Linked DNA regions of Notamacropus eugenii. The protein of the gene in region 2 interacts with the protein of the main gene of each other region in a pairwise test. Links are inferred from orthologs where the notes say so. Each region holds a gene or a part of one and is shown on either strand. Other genes may lie near its edges.

Evidence for each region.
Region 1: the proteins of DNAJA3 (region 2) and TCF19 interact in a two-hybrid assay, tested with the Homo sapiens proteins (2 studies listed by BioGRID and IntAct). The two-hybrid records come from large-scale screens. The link is inferred for Notamacropus eugenii from reciprocal best matches to the Homo sapiens genes DNAJA3 and TCF19.

The regions. Positions count from the first base shown.
Region 1 is NC_092873.1:85,011,580-85,019,777, reverse strand, and holds the start of TCF19 (transcription factor 19), read right to left. Parts: upstream 3,129-8,198; 5' UTR 2,494-3,128; intron 2,063-2,493; 5' UTR 1,874-2,062; coding exon 1,636-1,873; intron 1-1,635. Other genes in the region: CCHCR1 (coiled-coil alpha-helical rod protein 1), read left to right, coding at 3,709-3,843, 4,380-4,446, 4,539-4,755, 5,919-6,222, 7,380-7,543, 7,657-7,792, 8,044-8,154. UniProt on the Homo sapiens protein: Potential transcription factor that may play a role in the regulation of genes involved in cell cycle G1/S transition. May bind to regulatory elements of genes, including the promoter of the transcription factor FOXO1.
Region 2 is NC_092872.1:58,885,034-58,892,981, reverse strand, and holds the start of DNAJA3 (dnaJ homolog subfamily A member 3, mitochondrial), read right to left. Parts: upstream 3,063-7,948; 5' UTR 3,010-3,062; coding exon 2,799-3,009; intron 1-2,798. UniProt on the Homo sapiens protein: Modulates apoptotic signal transduction or effector structures within the mitochondrial matrix. Affect cytochrome C release from the mitochondria and caspase 3 activation, but not caspase 8 activation.

The DNA.
Region 1 (8,198 bases), on a different chromosome or scaffold from region 2:
ACTAAAAGGGGCTTTAATCATTCTTTTAGTGCAGGGAAAGGGACCAGCCCAGAGTTCCATAACACACAAAGTAAGAAACAAGCTGGAATTTGAATCAGGACCTTGATTCTATAAATGATGAGTTCACAGGCATAACTAGGCATTCTCTCTAGTTTCCTATCCTGCCTGGCTCCAGGTAAACTGAAGGGATTGGCTCCCCCAATCATCTCAGCTCACTGCTCCTGGGGGTTTCCTAACAAAGTTAGCACAGAATGGAAAGAGTTAGTAATTCTTCCCCTGTCCTTTTAAAATCATATTCTGTAAAGACTCAGTCTTCACTGACAATAAGAAACCAATGGGGCTAGTTAGACACCCAGACCTGTTCCAAACAGGGACAATCTTAGTTTTGGGATTCCCCCCTCCCACCAATAGGGACCTTAGGGCTTCCCTGAGGCTTCTGAGACACAGAAGAAACCTCCTATTTCTTTTGGGTCAAACATTAAAAAATCTTCTGGATCAAAAGGAACCTTTCCTGAAATCTATTGACAGCTAGATGACTCAGTGGATAGGTTGGGAGTTAGAAAGATCTAAATTAAAATCTGGTCTCTTAAACTGTGTGACCCTGGGCAGATCACTTAATCTGTTTGCCTAAATCCACTGTAGAAGGAAATGGCTATTGCAAGGGCCAAGAAAACCCCTGGATAAAAGTCCAGAGGGCATGAAACGTCAGACAGCTAAACGGTTGAACAACATGGTCAGGCCAAAGTAACAAAGAAAAATACTAAAGCCTTGGGAACCTGGACTAATAGTGAGCAGCAGAGGGAGTGTACCTTGGAGATGTGATCTTAAAAAGTCCCTATATTTATTTAATTTCATTGCCAACTCCTGGAAAACCTGTGCCAGAGCTTCCCTGCCTTTTCTCTTCTCTTCTAGAACTGAACCCCACTCACCCCCTTTTTTCTTGCTCCGCAATAAAATTGTTATCTTGTGTACAGTTCCCTTGGGACCTGTTTTATACTTTCCAAGGTGAGCAAGCTTGCTGATCTGCTAAAACACAGGCAGTGTGTATGGAGTGTGAAAGAGTGAGCTCTAGTAACCTTTTGACGATTACTAACTATGTGACCTTGGGCAAAGCATAGTTAGTACCCAGTTTCTTTATTTGTATCCCCTTACCTAGTAAGCAGTCCCTGTAACAAAGATTATAATATTTACCCTACACTTCACAGGATTGCTGGTAGGAAAATGACCAATAAACCTTAAAGTGCTATAGAAACATGAATTGTCACTTAATCTGAATCTCAGAAAACTATAAAATGGGGAAACCTCACACAATTGTTTTAAAGATCAAGTGACATGGGATAAATGCAACAATTCTGTAATAAAATATAAATATGGAACTAATCTCATAACTCAACCATGGAATTAATCTGCTCTGAAAGGCTTTCATCCATATACACACATATCACATATAGCACATCACCCTAACAGACAGCAGGTACCTTTTGGAGACAACTTAAGTCTTTTGATCTTTGCTGTCTAATCTAGAGGAGGAATCTGAGTGGCAATGACAATTGGGTCCTAGGGTACTTCTCAAATCATACCATACCTATTTATACCTATCTGCCTAAAAAGAGAGCCAGCCACGTCCAGGCTCACCGTAGCTACTGCAGTCCTCCAGGCTGACTCTCCAGTCGTCACCTTGGCTTTCAGCATGCAGCTTGGCATGGACCGGGGAGATGAGGACAGGCTCACACTGGGGCCGAAGGGCCACATCACACAGGTCAGCTCTGAGGCCCAAGTGGTAGGTACAGCCAGCCCCAGTGGGAGGGTGAAAAGTATAGAGATCTCCACCCTTCCCAACCCCCATGCGAAGCAGCTGGAAGCAGGGCAACATGGGGGGAGGGGCTTTCCCCTATGGACTCCCTTCTAAAGTCAGGGAATACATAGCTCTTTCTACCCTTGGGTAATTAAAAATGGAGAGATGTTCAGATGCAAACTTGGAGTACAATTCTTGTGCAATTCGGTTCAGTACAACGAAAATTTGGAAGGTATTCAGCTCGCAAACCGAGGGGGACAACTTGGCCTTGAAAGAAAAAAATTAAGGTGTCATCCCCGGTGCAATGCAAAACTAGGGAAGATGTATCAGGCTAAATTAAGGACCGGCTCGTAACCCGTGAAACTAACTAACACCCGGAGTATTGGATACTATTGTATACTCAGTTGGTACAATGTAACAGTAGGGATCGTAATGAGGCCGGTTTCCACCACTGTTTAATAATAACTTAGTTATTCGGTGCAATTGGGGGCGAGGGGGCCCTTTCTTTCAAAAGGACTTTTCCAGAGGTCCTCCCCCCGCAACTTTCCTGGCTCAACACCTCACTCTTGTCAGGGGGCTTAAGAACCTTTCAAGGTGATAAGACTGCAACCCCGGAAATGCGGGCTGAGGATCCCTATTTCTGGAGTAAAGCGAAGCAAGATCCCTTACCTCCCTCCCCTCTGGAGTGCAATGCAAACCTGGGGTCCTACTGCTTCCGAAGCAATGCAAACGCGGGTCCCCCCAGCCCGGGCAGCCTAATTTCGGATCAATCAGTGCCGGACAATCTCAGCGTGCCGTGCCCCTCCCTCAGGCAATACAAACCTCGACCGAGGAGGCTAGGACCCCAGTCCCCCCTCCACAGGACCCCCACCCCACCCTGTCCCCCGCGCGCACGCTCGGGCTGAAGTTTGACAGGGCTAGCAAAAGCAGAGGGCTCAGGCAGAAGCCGGGCCCGGAGCGGAGCTGGGCGGAGCCTCCGAGGACAGGCGAGCGTCCAACACCTTCGCAAACTCCCCGGGCCCGAATTCCGCGCGCCTCAGATACCCCGCCCCCTCCCGATGCCATTTCCCCATTGGACAGTCCTCATTCCATCGCCCAGACCCCATTGGGCGGTAGTCAGGAAAGGCACAAAAAGGACCCGGCGCGACCGCTTTCTTCGCTTCCCGATTGGCCATTGAATTTTCCCGGGTTTCAGGGAAAGGAGGAGGAGCTCGGTGGGGAGGAGGGATCTGTAAGGGCGCGGGGATAGGCCGAGTCCCTGGATTGGTTCACCATATGGACGCCACGGCGCTTGCGTGTCTCGATTCGTCCTCCCTCCCTCCCCATTCCGAATGAAGTACGCGGGTCCCGGAGCCCGCCGGCTGGCCCGCTCTGCGCAAGCGCGGTCAGTCTGTGGAGGGCGGGGTACTTTGTGGCGGAGGTGGGGCAACAAGGGGAGGGTGGGGTCTCGCGCTGGGTAAGGGGGCACGAGAGTGAGTCAGTTGAGGGCGGGAAGGGGTGGAGGGGGGCAAGGGAACGTGGGCACTAGGGAGCTGAGGGGGACAGGGGCAGGGCAAAGGAAGTGCTGGAGGTCTGGGGCCGTGGGGCGAGGGGGCACCGAGAGACGAGGAACGGGGCGAGGAGGGACACGAAGGGCCCGGGGAAGAGGGAGCAGGAGCTAGGGGAGGCTTGGGGGAAGCGGGGGCGCTGAGGGGCGGCCAGAGAGCTGCAATTGTGACGGGACCCGGGCCGAGCAAATTAGAGGGAGGGAGGGGGGAGCGTAGGACGGGGAACAAAGTGGGTGAGAGAGGGGGCGGGGCACGGGGGTGCAGGAGAGGCGGGGAGGAGGGCGGCTGGAGTGGATGGTAAGCGCCATAGAGAGAGAAAGTGAGAGCATCAGGGTGGGATGAAAGACAAACTAACAGGGGCTAGAGATGAGCAGAAGGCCCCACATGGGCAAAGGACTGTTAGACTTCCTGCTCACCCAGGAAGATGGTTCCGAAAATTGCTTTGCTGTTAATGGTAACTCGAGATCTCTGCATCTTACAGACTTCGTCTGGTGCCAAGCAGTATGCTGACTCTTTGATGGGGAGTGGGAAATCAGTGTTGGGAATAATGGTGGGGGGGAGGGGATTAACCCCCGGGGCCACCCTGAGCAAACCATCCAGTGGAGCTGCTTCCCTAGCCCTTTAATTCCGTACGTGCTCACTCACCTTCAGATCACAGAATAAGAAAAGTAGAGCCCAAAGGGGAGAGAAAGGCGCTACCCAAGTCCTATGAATGCCATGTAGACCTTCAGGGGTCTGGAGGCCTTAATCCTAGATCCTGCTTCCCTTAGAAAATTATTTTTTATCGTGGGTTTTGTGTTATGGAGTCTCTTATCAAAGCTAGGTGGGAGCCAGCCACTGATTATTTCATAGATGTTCCAGTTTGTCACTTTCAAAAATGAGGGTGATAGGGATGGGGAGGGGAAGGAAAGAAATGATAACTGGATAGATGTTAAATTACCTAAGGAATTGGCAAGGTTATCATAGGATCTTTCCCAGGGATTGGTTGGAACCTTGGAAAATGAATTGGAGCTTGAGGTGTTTCTCTTGCTCCACAGGAAAAAATGGATGGCTGGAGAAAGAACCTGGAACCCCCATCCACTTTTGGGATGTTCCAGTCTTCAGGTAAAAGGGATAGGGATGGATTATGGAATTGGAGATTGCATACCCTATTTCTATACCTTCAATATTGACCTTTCTGTCCTCTGCTTACTCAGGTCTCACTGGGCTCATGCCTCCATCTCATTTCCAAACACGGCCCCTTCCAAGCATGTCCAGGACCACTTCTGTCCAGTCCCCACCCTTACCCATAGTCCTGCCTTCACCCCATCACGGCTATGATAACAATGATCGTAGATGGGAGCATCATAGACTACAAATTTTGAGAGAACAAGATGGGGCAGGTGATAGTGAGGATCCCAAAAGAAGGACCAGGTAGGGATCTAGTTATTCTAGCTTCTGCCTGTAATTGTTCTTCACTTCTGTGTTAATTATTTTTAAAAGTTTAATTGATGGATTTTTCTTTTATTTTCCATTAATTTCCATATATACCCTTCTCTCCTATCTTACCCCACAAGCCTTCCCTTGTAAGAAAGATAGAAAACAAACAGTTCTGATTTTTTAAAATTCTGTGTACCTTCTGCTTTTGTGTATGAAATTTGAACTGTATTATTTGATCTTTTGTATTTTTTCTTGTCTCACGTGTATATCCTGACTCTTCTAAATTTAATGTCTTAATAAAATTATTGATTTTAGAGTGGAGTTACAGGCAGGTCTATCTTAGATCCTGTCCGCTACTGTTTTTGCTCCTGAATTACCAAAGGACTTTGTTATAAGGCAGCCATGGATTCTGAAATAACATTGTGATGATATTAGAGCTGTTTCTCAAGGACTGGGATCATGTCTTTTATTTTTATTGCCTCCTCTCAGAAGGTTTAGGAGAATTTATACCGTAAATGCTCAATAAATTATTAACCAGCCCCTATTCTTGTCACATTAGAACAAGAGGATCCATTGCCTTCTCTGCCCCTACCTCAGGTTGGAGTTCAGGCTCCTCATTCTCTCAAACCAGAGCACAGAAGACTGAGTATCCCTTCCTTTTCCACCTCAAGCCGAACTCTTAGATTCATAATGTCTTCATCTACTTGTGAATCAGATATCCTAGCACTCATTGTACCATTCATGAGGTACACTTAATTGATGCAACTATGCAATAGATGCAACTGTTATCTTTTTACGTATGTGAATGCCTTCCCTCAACTAGGATAAGGCCCGTTAAGTACACTTAAAGGTATAGATTATGGTACATACCTTTTTGTATCCCCAGCATCTAGCTTAGTATCCTACACATAAAAAGTGCTAAGTAAATGTTTAAGGAGTAGATCACAGAATCCTTACTGTTTCCAGGTTTTGCATCCTCTTGTGTGTCTGACTGACTTCCAGTTTCCCCCGAGGCACCCTTTTCACTTCCTTATCCTTACATATCAGATCAGAGAAGTCCTCATAACTACCTAGATGGAAACAGAGCGGCCCTCTTGTCCATCCCTTTCTTGTGTAAGACCAAAGAGGCCATATCTCACCTATAACTTTCCCCAAAGGTCCCTGGACTATGTAGGGCCACAAGGCTTGAATTCCCGAACTGAAATGATCTCTCAACAACTGGAAGAGATTCGGAGACTTGAGATTGAGAGCCAGGCTTTGCGGTTGGCTTCAGTCCATCAGAAGGCTCATCTGGCAAGCCAGGGTGAGGAGCTGGAAGTCTTAGGACAGGCAAAACAGGCAATGCGGGTTGAGGTGGAGGAGCTTCGTGCTGCTTTGGCTGGGGCAGAGCTCATTCGGAAGAAATTGGAAGAAGGAAACAGACAAGAGCTTGAAGAGACTCAGAGGGTGCACAAGGAACAGGTGAATGAGAATAAGAAAATACTAGGTGTTAGTTGGGATTTGTCTCAGTTCCACATGGTAGGGAATTAATCTGAGATAATCACTTTAGCAAAGATCCTTTGATATTCAATTAGAATAGTAATCTGCTTGGCCAGGAAGATGTTGAGAATTGAGAGTAAAGCAGAACCTGAAGGAAGCAGGCTGGGGCTGTTAGGATAGGGTTCTCTCCATTCATCCTCCTTGTTCTCTTTCCCCACTTCTCAGAATTCAGATATCCTGCTTCTCTCCCAAAACTTTCATTTACTTCTTAGTACTCAAATATTCTACCTATTTTCCTTTTGGAACTCATGTTAAAATGGACCCCAAACACTATCTGCCTAGAATATTGCTGTAGTCTCCTAACATGTCTTCTTCCATCACTATTCCCTCCCTCTCCATTCCAATGTATCCTTCACATTGTCGCCCTCCTAATATTCTTTGTCAGATGTATATTTGATTGAGTCACTCTTCTATTCAAAATCCTTCAGTAGTTCCCTATTGCCTAAATAAAGTTAAAACTCCTTAGTCTGGCTTTCAAGACTGTCCAGAATCTGGGCCTGCCTAAACCCTCTGGTCTTATTTCATATTACCCCCTTCCATACACTGTATATGCTTCAGCTACATTGGATTGTCCTTCATACATATCCTGTTCTTTCCTACTTCCATACCTTTATTCAAATTGTACTCAGTGCCTACCTGAAGTGCCTCCTTGCTTACTGAATTCCTACCCATTCTTTAAAAACTAGATTACATGCCTCTTGCTCAAACAAATAAACAAAACACCTCAAACTCACAACTTTCCTCATTCTCCTCACACATAGCACTGTCATTCCTCCCTTGGACTATAAACTTGATGAGATCAGGGACAATTTCTTAGTCTAAATTTTATATCTGCTCCAATGCCTAGCACAGTGCTCTAAATACAGTAGCCATTTAATACATGTTTGTCAGGTATTATATTAATTAAAATAAGAGAGTGGGGAAGATGGAAATAGAGGCCCAGGAAGGGAAGGGAGATAGGAAGCGAAGAGAAGTAGGCCACTAGGAAGGAGTTTGAGTGAGGAAGTGGGAACTTTTAGAGGAAAGATGAGAAGCTCCTTCCAATTCAGCCCCTGCTCTGTCATTGTTTTCTTCTTGAGATCTCTCAAATGACCGCAGCTCACCAGGAAGCTCTTGCTACCCTGGCCAACAAGGCCCATGAGTTGGAGGAGAAACTCAAGACCATGGAATCTAAGAGGGAAAAAGAGACCAAGGAGTTGGCCGTTGTACAGAGGGAGGCTAAGATGTTAAGGGAGGAACTAAGGTGAGGAGGAATATAGGGTCAATAAAAGTAGTCAGCAGCTATGTAGGAAGAGCATGTTTCTGGGGTCTTTCACTGATAGCCTTTACTTTCTCACTCCTACTCACCAATCTTAGTAAGGCGCATTCAGATCTCAAGGCCCAGGTGGCCCTTGTTGAGCAGCTTAGGAGGTACGTAGGGGATCAAGTCCCACCAGAAAGCAAGAACCAGACATGGGAGCAGGAGAGGAAGCAGCTGCTGGAGACGGTGCAGGTGAGAGATAAGCTCAGTGGTTTTATCCTTGGGGGGTGGAAATGGGGATGTGGGTTGGGAGATTGGAGGTGGATACAGAGATTCTTTTGGAGCTGATGAATATGCATAGCTTCTGGGGGGAAATAGTCCTTAGTTTAGAAGGGGATTTTACCCTGTGGTACACAGAGACCTGAGGGGAGGGAGAAGTAGGCACATTTTAGGGACAAGTACAAAGATGTTACTGTAGATAAGAATTTCCTTTCCCTGGCCAGCATTTGCAGGAGGATCGGGATGCCCTGTGTACCACTTTGGAATTGCTACAGGTTCGAGTGCAGAGCCTCCAGGACATCCTTGCCCTACAGGAAGAGGAGCTGGGTCGGAAGGTATGCTTGGCTCTCTTCATAGCATTCAAGTATTCTCTCTGCAA
Region 2 (7,948 bases):
TGCTATATACAGCATCACTGCATAATTGGAGGAGAGGTCTAGCAGGGAGATCAGGAAAACAAACAGAGAAGAAAAACCATCAGAAAAACTGGCTAAGCTTTATACAGTACTTTTAATAAATATTACACATTTGAAACATCACATTGTGAAACTAGATATTTTGTAACTCAGTCTCCTATTACATTCAACTTCACGTATGGTACTTTAGTGGGTCTGTCCCCAAATACAAACTGTATAAGAATGAGAGGGACAGGGGAAAATATGGACTTGGTATTTCACTGGTATCAGAAAGTCCCAATCCCTCTACCAATGCAGGTTGGTACCTCCTCTACAATTTATTATCTTAGAGTTATTGAGGGCACTTAGAGATCAAGTGACTTGCCCAAGATCACCATGGCCAGTATGTGTCAGAGGTGGGACTTGAACCCAGGTCTTTCTGTCTGGGAGGCCAAGTCTATTCAATATACCATGTTGCCTCTAAGTAACTCAATGTCTTTTAATAAAATTAGGATTGTAAAACAGAATGATTAAAGAGAGATCTGGATTAGTAGTCAGAGGACCTGGGCTCAAATTTCACCCAAACACACTTCTGTGTGACTTTGAAAAAGTTGTTTACATTCTGTGCCTCAGTTTCCTTATCTCTAAAATGACAAAGCTGAACTAGAAGGCCTCTGAGGTCCCTTCCAACTCTAAAGATATGAGTATATGATCCTAAGTCACCTACCTTTCTAGTTCTCAGATTTCTCATCTATAAAATAAGGCATCAGACCTCTAAGGTCCCTTCCAACTCTGCATTGGTGATATTGTGAGTATGATTCTGCCGTAACACCATTTATTCAAGTTCTTTATATAATTTCCATATCCAAGAGCCTACTCTTAGGACATGAACACAGTGAATACTAAAAAATTATCATTTGTCAACTCTTCTGGATTCATATCCAAACAATATAACTTTAACTCTGGAAAAAAAAATATGGGTCTCAAAAAGTCATTAAGTATAAATCATTTATTGAGTACACACTATAAACATAACAATGGGATATCAGTTTGTGACTATTTTACGAGAATATGCCTGGCCTTTAAGGTTATCTTTATACTACTAAGGACATTATTCCATCCTGCTTCTTGCATTTATATATGCTATGGTCCATAATTTAAATGGACTCCCTCCACATTTCCACTTGCCAAAAATCTTGACAAGTCCCTGAAAAGATGCAGAGAGGCCTCCTTCACCATATCTTCCATAACTCCCCAAAGCAATGTTTTTCCCTATGAGAGCAATACCTCATGCCTCTTAGCTCAGAGCTGTAGTCTGGAAGAAAAGGTCAAATTCAGCTTCAGATTAGCTAAGCTACCTTGGGTAAAATCACTTCACCAGTTTCCCTCAGTTTCTTCAATTGTAAAATAAGATACCTGTAAAGTACTTAACATAGTATATAGCACAAAGTAGGCACTATATAAGTGCTAGCTATTTTATTACTGTCCATTGTGTCACGATTTGGGGGGTTTATATCTTAGCTTCTCCATCAGACTGTAAGCCTGCCAATTTCCAAGGGTTCTGTTGCTTCCCGTTTGTATACCTAGTACAGAGCGGAGTGCTTTATGTACAGTCAGAAGGCCTGAGTTAAGAGTGACACTGCCACCTACTAGCCTTGTAACTATGGGCACTGACTGAGAACTATGCAGTGTAAAAAAAGTTACAAAGTACTTTTACATACATTATTTCATCTTGCCCATCAATGAAACAGGGATAATTACAGTTCATAATGTTGTTCCAAGAGAAGCACCCTTATAAATTGGGAAGCACCATATAAAGATATGAGATATGCTCATCACAACAAAAACCAAGCATCTTCTACATCCAGTACTGAACAGCAAAAAGAATATAAAGTGTTCCGTGTGTGTATCTGTGTGTGTGTTTAACACACACACACACACACACACACACACACTCTGGGCTGATTTAGGAAACCGTATGCTAGAGACTAGAAGCAGAAACATGTACAGGAAAAATCAGGTTCCCATCATGGATCACAGGCTCACAGTGGAAGAGAACCAGTTAATACCATTACATTGTGAGCGTCCTGGAGGTAGGATCTGGTTTTTTTTCCTTTCTTTGTGACTCCAGCTCTTGGCACAGTTCTTGGCACAAAGTAAGCAATGTTTACTAACTTATTGGAGTCAAAGGACCTCAAGTTCAAATCCTGACTCTCCCACTGGCTACCTCTGCGTGCTCACTTCGCTCTAAGCCTAGGCACACGTGGTGGGGGCAGACACTGTGGGCTAACGTCACAGTAACAGTTCGCTTCTATACCGAGCTGTAGGGCTCCTGGTGGGCTTCATACGCGTTATTCCATTAGATCTACTCAGGGCCCCGGAACCAAGGGAAGCCTCGGGGCCCGCTTCCCGGACCGGCCGTTTCTGACCAAAGGCTGCGGTTCGCCTCCTCCGGCCCCACGCCGCTGCTCCCTGGGGAGACGCCGGCGCACTCCCGCAGGGGAAGGTCGCCCGCTCCAGAGGAGGGCCCGAGGCGCACCCCGGCTGCTCCGAGGGGCGGCCCTCGCTCGCTCTCGCCACTCCGGGCTCCCCGTCACACGCTGACAGCCGGCGCCGCCTCCCGGGCTCATTCAGGCGGGCCCGGGCCACGCTTCCCCTCCCCCAGCCGGCTCCCTCGGACACGGCCCCGGGCCCCACGGTGGCCAGGTCCCACCTCCCCGACTTGTCCCGACCAAGCGAGGGTGACTTCGCCCTAGGTCGCTCCCTCGCCCTCCAGACCCGGCGCCGACGCCTCCCCTCACCTGAGAGGCTGACGCTGGGTGTCAACGTCAGGAGTCTCCCTGACGCGCAGACTCCCAAACGAGGCGAGATGGCTGCCTGGCTCAGCCTACGACCCAGAGAGACCGCTACGGTGCCCTCCCAGGATACCCGAGCCCCTTTCCCCGCAGCAGCCGGCAGCCGGGGGGTCCCCACTGCCAGCCACAGCCAGCGTGAGGAACACCTCGCCGCCATCTTGGCTTGGGGACGCAGCGCCTGCGCGAGCCGGCCTTAGAACGACTCGCCGGGAAAAGGGGGAGGGGCGTGCGCGTGCGCATGCGCAATTCCAGGAATGCAACTGTTGCCTTTCCCGCGAGAAATACCAGAACGCGCATTAAGGAGCAGTTTATGTTGCGCACGCATGACTCATTCCTTAACGGGGAGGTCAAAACTGAGACTAGGAATTGCGTAGAAACCTACTGGGAAGATGGCCTTGATCAGGGATTTTGTAGTAGAGGCGAGGGCTACACGTAACTTGGGCTAAAATGAATTTGATCGCGCCGCTACTAGCGGAACTACATCTCCCAGAGTGCCTTACGGTGAACTCGCTGAACGGATCCCAGGGAGCAAAGCGCCCTACCCCTCAGTGTGACCCTGAGAGGCGGTCACGGTCTTCGCCGTTACTTGCTGGTCTCAGGTTCCAGGCTTTCTACTCCGTTCCACAAGCAAACTTGAACCCCCAGCCTCGCCGGGCGGACCTCCTGGGCTCGAGCATTACTGTTCCGTCAGTGGGCTTGGGGGGACGAGGGTTCGAGGGTTGCAGGGCCGCGTGGTCTTGGGCAAGTCGCCTCCCCTCTGGAGCTTCTTTCCGCTTCTATAAAACCACCCACGTCCCACAGCTCTGGCAACGGGAACAGTTTGTAAATGGCGAAATTCTCCTAGAATTGTGAGCATGTTGTTTCGGGGCAGGGCCAAGGGACCTGCGGCCTCGAGGCTACCTGGGGGCTTCTAGGTCCTTGGGTTCGGCCTTCGGACAGAGGCCAAGTTTGACAGAACAGATCCTGTCTCGGAATCTGCCTCCTTTGTGAAGCCACCTTTGACCTCTGCCCTCCCACCAGGTTCTGTTCTTTTGTACGTATCTCTCTGCCCACATGCTTCGTCCCGCAATCGGAGTCTATTACCTAACATTTTTCGATTTTCTTTGGGACTGACTGGTTTGATCCAGTCAGATCCACAGGAATGAATGTGAAAATGTGAAAAAACGCCTGGGCTTCCTGTGGGATAGACACAACTCCCTTTACTGACCCTCAGATCTGATGTACCTGCCCTGACCCCAAGAGACCTGCGCTCTGGTAGGGGAAAGCTGGCAGGTCAAAAGCTCATCTCAGTGTCTGTGTGTATGCACAGCGTGGGTCTGTCCTGACTCAACTTTCCTGGACCTGTGCAGACCCCACCTCTGAGGACCCTCAGGAGCTCCCGTACCCACCTGTGAACATGTATGTGTCAGGAATGTGTATGCACATAGGTGTAAGTGGGAGGTAGGGAGCCCCATCTGACCTTGCAGAAAGACAGAAGGTGAACCAGACGGCTCTAAGTTTGAGTCTATTTTGGTTTCTTCTCTGGGCTCTCCTAGTTGCTTTCTGCTTTGCAGTGAATCCCAGCGCAGCCTCCTGTCTCCAAGATTCTGCCTGCCTGAACTGCCTCCTGCCTGATGTCTGTCCCAAACGCAGTGGAGTCCAGAGACATTGACCTGATCCAATGCCAGGCTCTCATTCTCTTCTGTTGGCACAAGCCCCAGTCTAAAGCTAAAGAGGGATGGGTTTTGATAGGAGACTTCCATGTGCTTCTAGGATAACGTAAGTACACTAGTTCCTTTGCCCCCCTGACCTCCTCTCTGGATCTTTAAGGGGGCATGGTATGCTATATTAAATTCTACCGAATTCTAACTGAATTAGCAAAGATGATGAATGATGGAAATAGCCATCATTGGACAGGATATGATAAGGTATGTATAAAATGCAAGTTGGTCCCTGTTAGTATGAATAATGAATGGATATTGTGAAGCAGTTGGCTTATTCAAATTCTAACTTCATATTTCAATTGGGCTGGAATCAGTTAACATATTTTACATAATTTTATCTTGGAATAGTGTAAATTCAAATATATTCAACTATTTATATGATTCATCATTTGCATTCATCAGGACTTAGCTTTACATTTTAGTGGAGTTGGTCCAACCATTTTGGAAAGTAATTTGGAATTATGTTACAAAAGCAGCTAAGATGTCCCCACCTTTTAACCCAGAAATATCATTAAGCATATACCTCAAGGAGGTCCAAGATAGAAAGGGCCAATAGATGACAAACTAGCCATTGCCAAATTTTTTGTGATAGTAAAGAACTAGAAATTAAGTGAGAATTGGCTGAAAAGCTTTGAATACATGAGTATTTTTTCAACATAAGGAAGAATGAGCATGAAAAATTCATGAAAACATGAATATGAAAAAAAATCCACAAAAATGTAAATAGAAAGAACAAAAAAGAAAACTCAGTGTTGTGTAATTAATAACCATGCTTGGCTCCAGAGAAGAGCTGAGAAAATGTACTTGCCTCCCTTTATTGACTATGGATGTGAAATATTGCATATACCGTCAGGTAGGGTTGATGTGTTGGTTAGTTTTGCTGAACTACATTTTTTTTTTCATTTTGTTATTATTTGTTATAAGAAATTGTTTATTGGGTGAGGGCATAGGAGGGTGTAATTGGAAATTGACATCATTTATAAAGGGAACCAATAAAAATAATTTTAAAAAACAATTTAAAAAATTATTTTAAAAACAAAATAATTGTAGAAGAAAAGTAGCCTTACTCCCAAATAAACAATGTCCAGCAAACTAAATCACATTATCTCAGAGTTGCAAGGGACCTCAGAGGCCATCAAGTCCAGCCCAAATCTAAATAACAATCCTCTCTACAATATAGCTGACAATTGGTCATCCAGCATTTACTTCAAAGGGGAACTTGCTATCTTCCAAGGTAACTTATCCACTTTGGGACAGCTAATTATAATAGCTAATAAAGCACTTCACATGTATTATCACAATTTTAAAAAATAAATATGTATTGGTATATTTTGTTTTTCTGTGTTACCAGAATTTCTCCCAGAATCTACACCTCCACCCCCTTCCATATAACAAATAAGAGAAAAACAGAGGCAGGGAAAAAATCAGCGAAAATTAATACATAGAAAAAAATGAAAATGTATACAATTAACTATACTTGTGGACCTCCAACCTCTACAAAGGAATGGAGTGAGAGTGTCTTATCCTTTCTCTTCTTTGGGGCCATGCTTGTTATTTGTAATTTTGCAGTATTCACTTTTGATTTTTTTTGTTGTTGTTCTTTCCATTTATATAGTTGTAGTGATAGTGTTATGTTGTTTCATTCTGCATTGGAACATGTAAATCTTTCTTTGCTTCTTTGTATTCATATTTGTCACTTAGGCTCAGTAAGAGTCCATTTATATTATCAAATCTGATTTTTACGACCCTATAAAACAGAGTTTTTTTATTACTCCATTTTAAAACTGAGGAAACTTGGTTGGAGAGACATTAAAAGATTTACCATCACACAGCTAGAAAAATTTCACAGCAGGATTGAAACTCAGGTCTTCTGACTCTTAAGTCCAGCACTTGATCCTGTACGCCATCTACTACTACCTTAACCCTACTTCTTAGGAAGATTTTTCTATTGAGTCTGAACCTGTCTCTCTTCCATTGATTGCTATTCCATCCATTACTTAGAGTTCTGCTCTCAGGGGCTAAAGAGAATTACTTTCTGCTTACTTATCTTTGTACATACTGAATCCCCATTATAGATGGTTGCTTTGTTTTGGTTTTTTATTTTTATCTGTGTATAATTCAGTGCCTTGCATAAGAAGATGTTTAATAAATGTTTGTTGAATTGAGAATTTTATACTTAAGTCCAGTTCCAAATCCTATAAATCTTAACTCAGGTCCCATCTCCTCTGGGAAGCCTTTTGCAAGATGGAAAACATTCTTCCTTGGACCTTCATAGCACATGATTTACAGCTTTCCTATGTGTTTATCTTGTTCTGTTTTGTTTTGTGGTTGTATGTGGTTCCTTCTCTACTACATTGTAAGTTCATGTTCCGATGATCTTTGTGTCTTCCTTAGTACCAAGCAAAATAAATGTTTGTTGAGTTGAATGTGATCTAAAATTTGGCAACCCTTAAAAAGATAATTTCAGATGTTGTACCCCAATGGAATGAAAGTAATTTATGTGCACATATTTGCCCCCTTTATTATAATTCATTATTTTGCTAGCAACTCTTTACAGTCCATTGGACCCTTAAAGCTTCCTTGACCTGAAGGTGTCTATATAGTCTTGTAGAGTATCTAAATGTGAGTTGGTTCAAGGGCAGGGGCAAAATGTACAGGGGTCTGGAAGAAGGACTCAGCACACCAAGAGGAAAAAAGAAGGATGACCTATTTGCTACAAATGACCATACTTCTGGAAACTCATCAATTGCAGATTGAGTTAATTGCACAGTTTTGGGTCTTCATGACTGCTACTTCTTCCAGCATAGATGAAAAATGCATCTGGTCCCCATCTTTTTAGCTCTCTTGGTGACATTAATTTAGTTCCACAATGGTACAGAGGGCAGAAGAGTCCTCACTCCAAGTCCTTGAGAAATTCACTTAAGAAGCAATAATAGTAATGTTTGGTTGAGAATTTCTCAAATGTGTGTTCTGATCACCTCTCTTTTTTTCTTCCCCATCTTTCCTTTGCCTATCTCTCCTGGCAAAACTCCAAGAGGTCTATAGTATATGTGCTCCTGGATATTGTCACTTTGCATAGAGCCTCCTGAGGAACAGAGTCGTTTGAGGTGTGACTTGGGGCAACGATGAAATCATCAAATACATAACCCCATTATCCTGGTTATTTTCCTGTTTGTAAGCCAAGTTCTGGCAGCCTCCTGAGTATCTGTTTAAGAAACTTCATGAGTTGGTAAAAACAAAGGATTCTGGTCTACAATTAAGTAATTTGCTCAAAGTAGAGAGAGACCTGGGGATCATGTTGAGTTAGTTAGTACTCTGAACTTGGAAGTCCTGATTTTAGATCAGATTCTGCCACCGGACTCACCCATTAATATCTTAGAGCCAACTGCTTCT